Linked DNA regions of Callithrix jacchus. The protein of the gene in region 1 purifies or fractionates together with the protein of each later gene. This does not show direct contact. Links are inferred from orthologs where the notes say so. Each region holds a gene or a part of one and is shown in the gene's direction. Other genes may lie near its edges.

What was found.
Region 2: the proteins of TNKS2 (region 1) and RNF146 purify together in Homo sapiens (co-immunoprecipitation; 3 studies listed by BioGRID and IntAct, with this or other methods). This does not show direct contact. The link is inferred for Callithrix jacchus from reciprocal best matches to the Homo sapiens genes TNKS2 and RNF146.

Annotation. Positions count from the first base shown.
Region 1 is NC_133513.1:84,573,736-84,577,650, forward strand, and holds the start of TNKS2 (poly [ADP-ribose] polymerase tankyrase-2), read left to right. Parts: upstream 1-1,408; 5' UTR 1,409-1,716; coding exon 1,717-1,915; intron 1,916-3,915. UniProt on the Homo sapiens protein: Poly-ADP-ribosyltransferase involved in various processes such as Wnt signaling pathway, telomere length and vesicle trafficking.
Region 2 is NC_133505.1:133,839,108-133,843,022, forward strand, and holds the start of RNF146 (E3 ubiquitin-protein ligase RNF146), read left to right. Parts: upstream 1-994; 5' UTR 995-1,226; intron 1,227-3,915. UniProt on the Homo sapiens protein: E3 ubiquitin-protein ligase that specifically binds poly-ADP-ribosylated (PARsylated) proteins and mediates their ubiquitination and subsequent degradation. May regulate many important biological processes, such as cell survival and DNA damage response.

The DNA of each region.
Region 1 (3,915 bases):
ATTCACAACTTGGCTGTTTGGTGCAAGGGGGCCTATCTCAGCTTTCAACATGCCTTCTGCACTAAGCTGAATAATTTCTAGCTTTTGATTTAAAGTGAGAGATATGCAACTTTCCCTTTCACTTGAATACCTAGAAGCCATTGTAGAGTTATTACCTGACCTAATTTCAATATTGTTGTGTTTCAGGGAACAGAAGACCAAAGGAGAGGGAGATGGCAGAATAGCCTGTCGGTGGGGCAGTCAGAGCACACACAACATTGACTGATTGATTGCTGTCTTCTATGGGTGTGGTTTGGGGTGCCCCAGAACAATTGCAATAGTGTTTTCAAAGATCACTGATCATAGATCACCATAGCAGATTTATGGAAAGAAAAATGATAAATGCAATCATATTGGTAGTGTTCTAGTCCTTAGGTGCGTTCGTGCATATTCACTTTATTGATATCTACCATAACTTCAATTCCATATTTATAAAAATGCTCAAAAAAGTGTACATCCTCTTTTAGCACTGTAGTGAGTCAACACTCCCCAACAAAAACTGGATTTCCTGAAAAACAGGTTAAGGCGGGGGGGGGGGGGGGGCGGTATGTTTTTCAGAATGCCAAAGGTCAACCTGTATCATCTTCTGTAAGTAAAATGTATGTATATGCATAGTTTCCGTTTTTTAAGACAAGGGAGTGTAATGGGGAATCAGCGTATAAAACTACCCCACTACCTTAATCATGAAAATCAATTACGTGCTTTTCTTTGATTTGTTGGCCAAAGAAAAAAATTACAACTCAGAAAACTTTCTTGGAGATGCATATGCCCAGTGTATCCAAACTTCAGGCTTGTCGGGTACAATACTGATTTACATAAAGTTCCTCTAATCAAACCTGAGCTAATAACTTACTAAGGAAAGAGTAATTGATCAGAGCCATCCCCCCAACTGGAGTCAACTTTCATATATGTTCTGATTTCCTTTATTTTGGGGGCAATTCATCCAAACTTCTAATTAAATGGCAACTCGTTCACTTTTGAGAAATGTTTCACAAGAAACAACAACAACAAAGCAGTTGAGGAGGAAAGAAAAGAGACACAGTAAAGAAAAAAAAATGGATGTAGAAGCTGAAAATACGTACAATTTACTTCCAAAAGAATATGCAAGATGGAGCAAAACTTTCAAGGGCTCTTTTTCAGTATAATGGTAGTGAGGAAGTTCAGCTTGAAAAGCCCAGGGCTTAAAAAAATAAACAATATGCAGGACCGTTCAGCTTCAGCAGAACCCACCGCAAAGATGGCGATGGGACGAAGCCCCTTCTGCGAAGCCCGTCACTACATATTTCCCACAAACCCTTCCGCGCAGCCCAGCTCGCGGAAACCTGCACGGCCGATTCCCGGTTACTGCGCACGCGCGGGACAACGTCACGTGCTCTCCCAGGGCTCGGCGGAGCTGGCAGGAGGGACCTTGCCACCTTCCGCGGCCGCGTCGCTTCAGGGCTCGGCCGGCGGATTCGCGCTGCCTCCGCAGCTGCAGGGCAGCTGGGGGAAGGGAGCCGAGCTAAGGGCGCGCGTCGGCGCGGCCATGGGACTGCGCCGGATCCGGTGACAGCAGGGAGCCAACCGGCCCGGGCCCTGAGCGCCTCTCCTCCGGGGGGCCTCGCCCTCCTGCTCGTGGGGCCGGGGCTCCTACTGCCCTTGCTGGCGCTGCTGCTGGCGGCGGCGGCGGCCAGGATCATGTCGGGCCGCCGCTGCGCGGGCGGGGGAGCGGCCTGCGCGAGTGCGGCGGCCGAGGCAATGGAGCCGGCTGCCCGAGAGCTATTCGAGGCGTGCCGCAATGGGGATGTGGAGCGAGTCAAGAGGCTGGTGACGCCGGAGAAGGTGAACAGCCGCGACACGGCGGGCAGGAAATCCACCCCACTGCACTTCGCCGCAGGTAACCCGGGCCAGCGCCCCCTCGCCTCGCTCTAGACCCCACCTGCGCATCCGGGGCTCGTAGGCCTGAAACCAGTGCTCCTCCACTCCTCGACCTGTCCCCTAAGGACTGTGGTCCTGGTGATCTCCCTCTCTTCCAGTGGGGACTGGGGAGATTGGGGGGTTGGGTGAGCGTGCCACACTCACTGGAAGTTTTTGGTTTGTTTTATTTTGTTTTTGCCGAGGGTGGAGGGTGGTTTGGGGTTTTGGCTTTGTTTTGTTGCTACAATACCTGTACCAACTTCCGGTCTTGTTACCCTAGAAGGCGTCTACACACAAGAAAGAGTAGGGGACTTTAGTAAATAGACCTATGATTTAAACGATCAGTTACCTCCAAAATTTTTCATTCTGGCAAGTTCCATTTGGATTAAGGTCTTGAAGGACTTTGTAAAATGCAAGGATGTAATTTCGGAGGAGTAGTTTAATAGGCCATTGACACATTAGCGTTAATTGATTTATCAGAATAGCCAATCAGCAAGTTTCTGGAGTGACTACAACTGGAAATAGGCAAGTTTGGGAGAACTGAAATCTGACTAGGCTGGGTGCGGGAAGTCTTTGACACACACACACAAGTTGAGGTGGAAAGTAGTAGTATAGTAGAAAAGATGGTGCAAGTACTTTAGCTTGGATCTAGAATATAAGCTGAAACTAACCTTGCTTCATTTTGAGAATTAGATCGTTTGAATTACTTTCTTTTAATATTTATTAGGTTCACTTTATGATGTAAGCATATTAAATTTAGTCGAAGAATTTAAAAGAACCAGAGATGGGATAGTCAGCTTATTCCCATAAAGCATACATATTTTTCACTTGTAGAAAAGATCATGACAGTTTCTAACTTCAGGTGAGCCATGTGTGATTGAAAATCGGAGTACCTCCTCTTACCTCCGACCATCCTGGTTTTTTGTTTTGTGTATTTCATGATTGTTAAAAACAATTTTTTTGAAAAAGCAGGGAATACCTTTTAAAGTGTTTCTGTTCTTTTGGGGCTAGATTGATGAAGAGAAAAGGAGCAGTGAGGAAGATTTCCTCTTTCACAAACATTACTTTTACACTTTCTACCAATTGGAGTTTTGTTCGGTTTACCCTGTTCCGGGTTTTAAATGTAAACACTACCAGGAGGTATGCTTTTTTGATCAATTGCATCTTTATTGGAATTTCTACTGGGGAGTCTTTTTAAGAAAAGAAAGTCTAGGGAACCTAGTCGGAGAACTAGAAACAGTTTCTGGGCAATAGAAAGAGAAGGAAGAATACTTAAGTCAAATCACACCTAGTTAGCCGAAATTTTACCCAAAATCTTGATGGTAAGTGCTGCTGTTCTTCAGCCAATTCAGATTGTCCTGTTTGACCATGTAGTTAGTCAACATTTAAACAACTGATTTGGCAAACTATCACCACCAACTGATACATAAGCCAAAGGGTAGGGTTACTTAAAGTCTGTTCATTTGATCTGTGGGATAAAAATAGCCAAGAAAGATCTTAGTTGCTACCTTTCAAGAATTTGGTATATTAATGAGTTCATATCTGAAAATAGTAATATTTAGAGGTGTAAGGTTATGGGTATTAGCTCAGTGACCTTGTTCCTTCTCTAACTTCCTACCCTCAGTTCTGTTCCAACATTTCAGAGCATTTTTTTACATAGATTTCATTTTGTTTGTTCAAGTTGAAATGGAAGACTTAATATTTTGGAAACCACCCACCCCTCACAACTTACCCAAATTATCAGGTGTAGGTTATAAGATTAATAGTTACAGGTATGAAAGGGGAATAATAAAAATTAACAGGGGTGGGGGGCGGGGAATCTTCATTCAACCAGAACTTGTAAAGTCCTGTACTTAAATCCAGGCATATAAGAAACTTTTTAAAAAATTGTCTTTGTAAATTTAATCTAAATTTTAGGTTTATCAGAGAGAAGTTTTTTAAGTGCATCCAACTAACTTTTCACTCAATATGTGGAGAATA
Region 2 (3,915 bases), on another chromosome or scaffold:
TAGATGGCACCTTTCAAGAGACTGGTTTACATATTGAGATATGAGAATGAGAACCCTGAAATAAACTGATTCAGAGGAATAACAGAAAACATATAAATTTCTATACATATAAGGTCGCTGAAAACTTCCCATCCTGAATGAAACATTTAATGAAATCCCAAAACGCAACACTATTGCAAATAAGACACTGTCATAAAATTTTGAAATACATACGCTTTTAAAGATAAAAGGCCTGCTCTTCCACCCTCTTCATTTTCCTACAAATTAGGAAAATTTAATCAGTTCTGAAAAAGGAAATGTACATGCGAAAATGGTGAATACTGCTAGAGTTCTGATGTTTTAAACCACAGGCTTGCGATCAAAATAACCTCTTTAATTTTAGATTCTCATGCAGATTAATTTCTTTCTCCAGTTTTTCAAGCACTATTCTGTTTTTTTTTTTTAAAAAAAGGAGGGGTTCAAAGGGAAAGTAATATCCATGCTTTTCCCGATTAAATTGCTCAACCATTAAAAAGGTGAATAAATTAGAAAGCCCTAGAATACTCTACCCCCTCGGTCCGCCCCCCACCACCCTTTTTTATTTCTTGAAAGGGAAAAGCAGTTCTTTTGCCAGGGGATCTTCAAGCCGAAACTCGGCTAGGCACCCCAGGGCTTCTCCCGGATCGCAAAACTGGATTTCTGCGCAGCACCACCTGCAGTTCCTACACGCGTTTTACTTCCTCCACCCCAAATCTGCTTGCTGGAGCTGCATTCTTTCAGAGCCTCTGGCCCCTAATACAAACAAAGTACACTCTAAAGCAGCCAGAAGGATCCAAGCAGCGAAGTCGCGGATCCCCACAGGCAGGAGAGTGCAGGCAGGCAGCGGCGCGAAACCGGGACGGAACGAAGAGACGCCGGAGCGAGCCCGCGGGTGCGCGGCGCGGCTTCCGCCCCGCGCGGCCCCGCCCCCGCGACGCGCCGGGTGGTCACGTGAGGGCCGCGCGCGTCCCCGGCCGCTGCGGGCTCAGAGGCCGGAGAGAAAAAGACTGCGAGGTGTCCGCTGCTGTGGCCAGAGAGGTGGCAGTCGGAGCGAGGCCCTGTCGGGGGAGCAGGGAGAACTCCGGCCACTCCAGGACCCTCACTGGGGGAGAGGAAGCATAGCTCGCGGTGTCACCTTCAGCCGCGACGTACTCCGGGTCGGCCTTGCGCTCGGGGCCTGAGAGGGGCGGCGGCGGGGTCAGGGGCCGGTACGTAGATGGACGCCCTTGGGCTGGCGCGGCCGCGGCTGCCCGCGCAGAGGCGGGATGGGACAGCTCAGCCTTTTCCGCCACCCCAGCCTTGGCTGCGGTCGCAGGCTAGACGGCCGTGACAGCCCCTGTGCTGCCCGAGGGCGCCGCAGACCCTGCCCTGGGTGACGGCCTGAGCTGGTCTCGGTCGGGGTGCGAGGGGCGGAGCAGCGGCCATTACTGCGCAGCCTCTTCCGCCGGAGCCCGCGTCGGTGCCTCGGGTAGCAGGCGGGTCCCTCTCCTCCCCCTGGGCCGTGGTGTCAGGCCTCTACGCGGGGACCTTCTGGCCTCGAGGTGTAGGGGCGGCGATGGTTTTTTGGCAGTAGCCTGCTCCCTGTTTCCCGTGTGGGGTCAGACACTTTGGGCCTTGGGTCAGATCGAAGCCAGGGCGTACAGTCTGCATTTTGTCTTTTCCCGGAGTGTCTCTGGCTGCTGCTTTCTCTGCTCTTTCTCTTCCTCCTTTTTCTCCTCCTGCTCAGTGTCTCGGTCTTGCCTAATACGAAGAGAGCATTCCTGCACCTTGTCCTAGTGAAGCCCCGCATTGCATATTCTTAGCTGTTTTGACGGCTGTTAAAGCATCGGAACAATTAAGAGGTCTCAGAATGTCCCTTGAGCCTCCAGACCCTCTGTACATCTTAAAAGCCGAGGCTGTTGCTTTGTTCTGGTTGTTGGGTGGGGAGTTCTCTTCCTACCCTCCATCCAGTCTGAAGGAGTGCGGGTCTTCCATTGTTGTCGCTATTTATTTTTCAAAGGCTTCTAAAGAATGTAAAATTATTTTTAAGAATGTGGAGAGGGAACCGTCCTCTCCACAGGACTGTAAGTTTACACACACATCCTGGCAACAAGAATCTTTTCTCGTTCATCATTTTGGTATACGTTTTAATTTAAGTGCCGTTTTAGTGAGCACTTATTTCTCAAGTTTTGAACATTTTAAGTGATATTTTTGTAATATTGAAACAATGTACAACTGAGGAGAGAAGAAAGCCAAAAGATGATGGGGAACGCTTTGTTCTTTGTATGATTGACATTTCAGGTGCTGGGCACATCACCCCCACCCCGTGTGTGTACTTTTCAAATGGGATGTGAACGTATAATATTGGCATTCAATGCAGTATATAATTATAAATCTGGAAGACTTAGGACATTTTAGTCAGTGAATCTATATTTAGACTTTTAAGACATGGCACGTAAGGACACATGAAGAAAATATCCCACACAAATAACAGGATTTGTGATTGTGCCTTTGCTGTTTTATGACTAGCAAATACTGTTTTTGTGGACTGTCTTGGTGCCCTAAAAACACATGAAAATAGGTCAAGTAAATCTCATTTTAAAGAGAAAACTGGAAGAGTGAATGCCACTCTAAAAATAGATTTTGGATGTGTTTGTTTTGGTGCCTTGTATATTTTAAAGTGGAGGATGTTGTTCAGCCCAATCTTTCATTTACAATTTGTGTCTCAAATGGGCCAGTGTATGCTGTGGGCAGAATGGAAATACATTTAGTTTTTCTTTTCTTCGATGGTTGTTCAGAACTTGGTAGAATTATAATCATCAGGAAAACTTTGTCCAAATAGCTGGTCTTTAGACAAGAGGAAGAAAAAACAATTAACTGTTTTGTAAAGGCGATGTCCACTTGCAAAGTGTTTTGTTTCAGTCTCCACCAACTTACATTGTCAGAAGAAAGGAACAGACATTTTTTTTTAAAAGGATCCAAAACGATATTTTGAGTTAGAAGAAAAGGATATTAAATTTTCTGTTTTCACAATATCTATCTGTTTAAAGAATATTATTTTATGTGCTAGCCATATACTAGCATGAAACGTCTAACAGCACTGTCAGTTGGGAATTCGAATGTGTATTTTTCTTCGGTGTTAGTAATAAAAGGTACTGAGCCTTTTCCATTCTCTTACCTGGTTCCCTTGTGCCTGAGGAGTCTCAATTTGTGAAAACAACAGGCTGGATCGGGAACAATCTTTTTGGGTATAGAAACCAATTTATTTAACACTTGGCTACAACCACCTGTGCTTACTTATGAACTATCTTTAGTTTTCATGGCTTATTACCTTTTGGGTTAATTTAAATCCAAAATGGTTGTTAACTGACTGCTAATTAAAGCATTTAGAACGTAAAATATAAAGTAGGACGAGATAACAAAACACTGGGGGTTATGACTTGACCAAAGTCACACAGATAATTTGCCAAAGAGCCTTTCTTATTTATGAAATGGTTGCTGGCTAAGAAACATCTGTGTTTGATATTATTAAAAGATTTGTTCACTTTTATATCTCATGTTTTGAAATAAAATGCAAAGCCCACTTTTTTGTTGTTGTTTTGAGAAAAATTGAAGGGTTTAAAGCGCTAGTATAAAGATTGTGAGGTCAATAAGTAGATTGCCACATAGTAACGTTTTTAAAGGGAAATATTCTTTAAAGTATCAGACCCCATTTAGTTGCAGTGAGTTTTGTTGAAGTTTTCGAGTATGACCTATGCTTTTTCTTAGCTCATTTTTAGCAGGTGATGATGAGGGCTAAAAATGGAAATATTAGGGCATTTAGTTACATCTCTCAATTTGGGAGTCGTTCATAAAAAATACTAAGATGTATCTGCTAACTCACACCTGATTTATCTACTCCTTTTATGTGTGTGTATA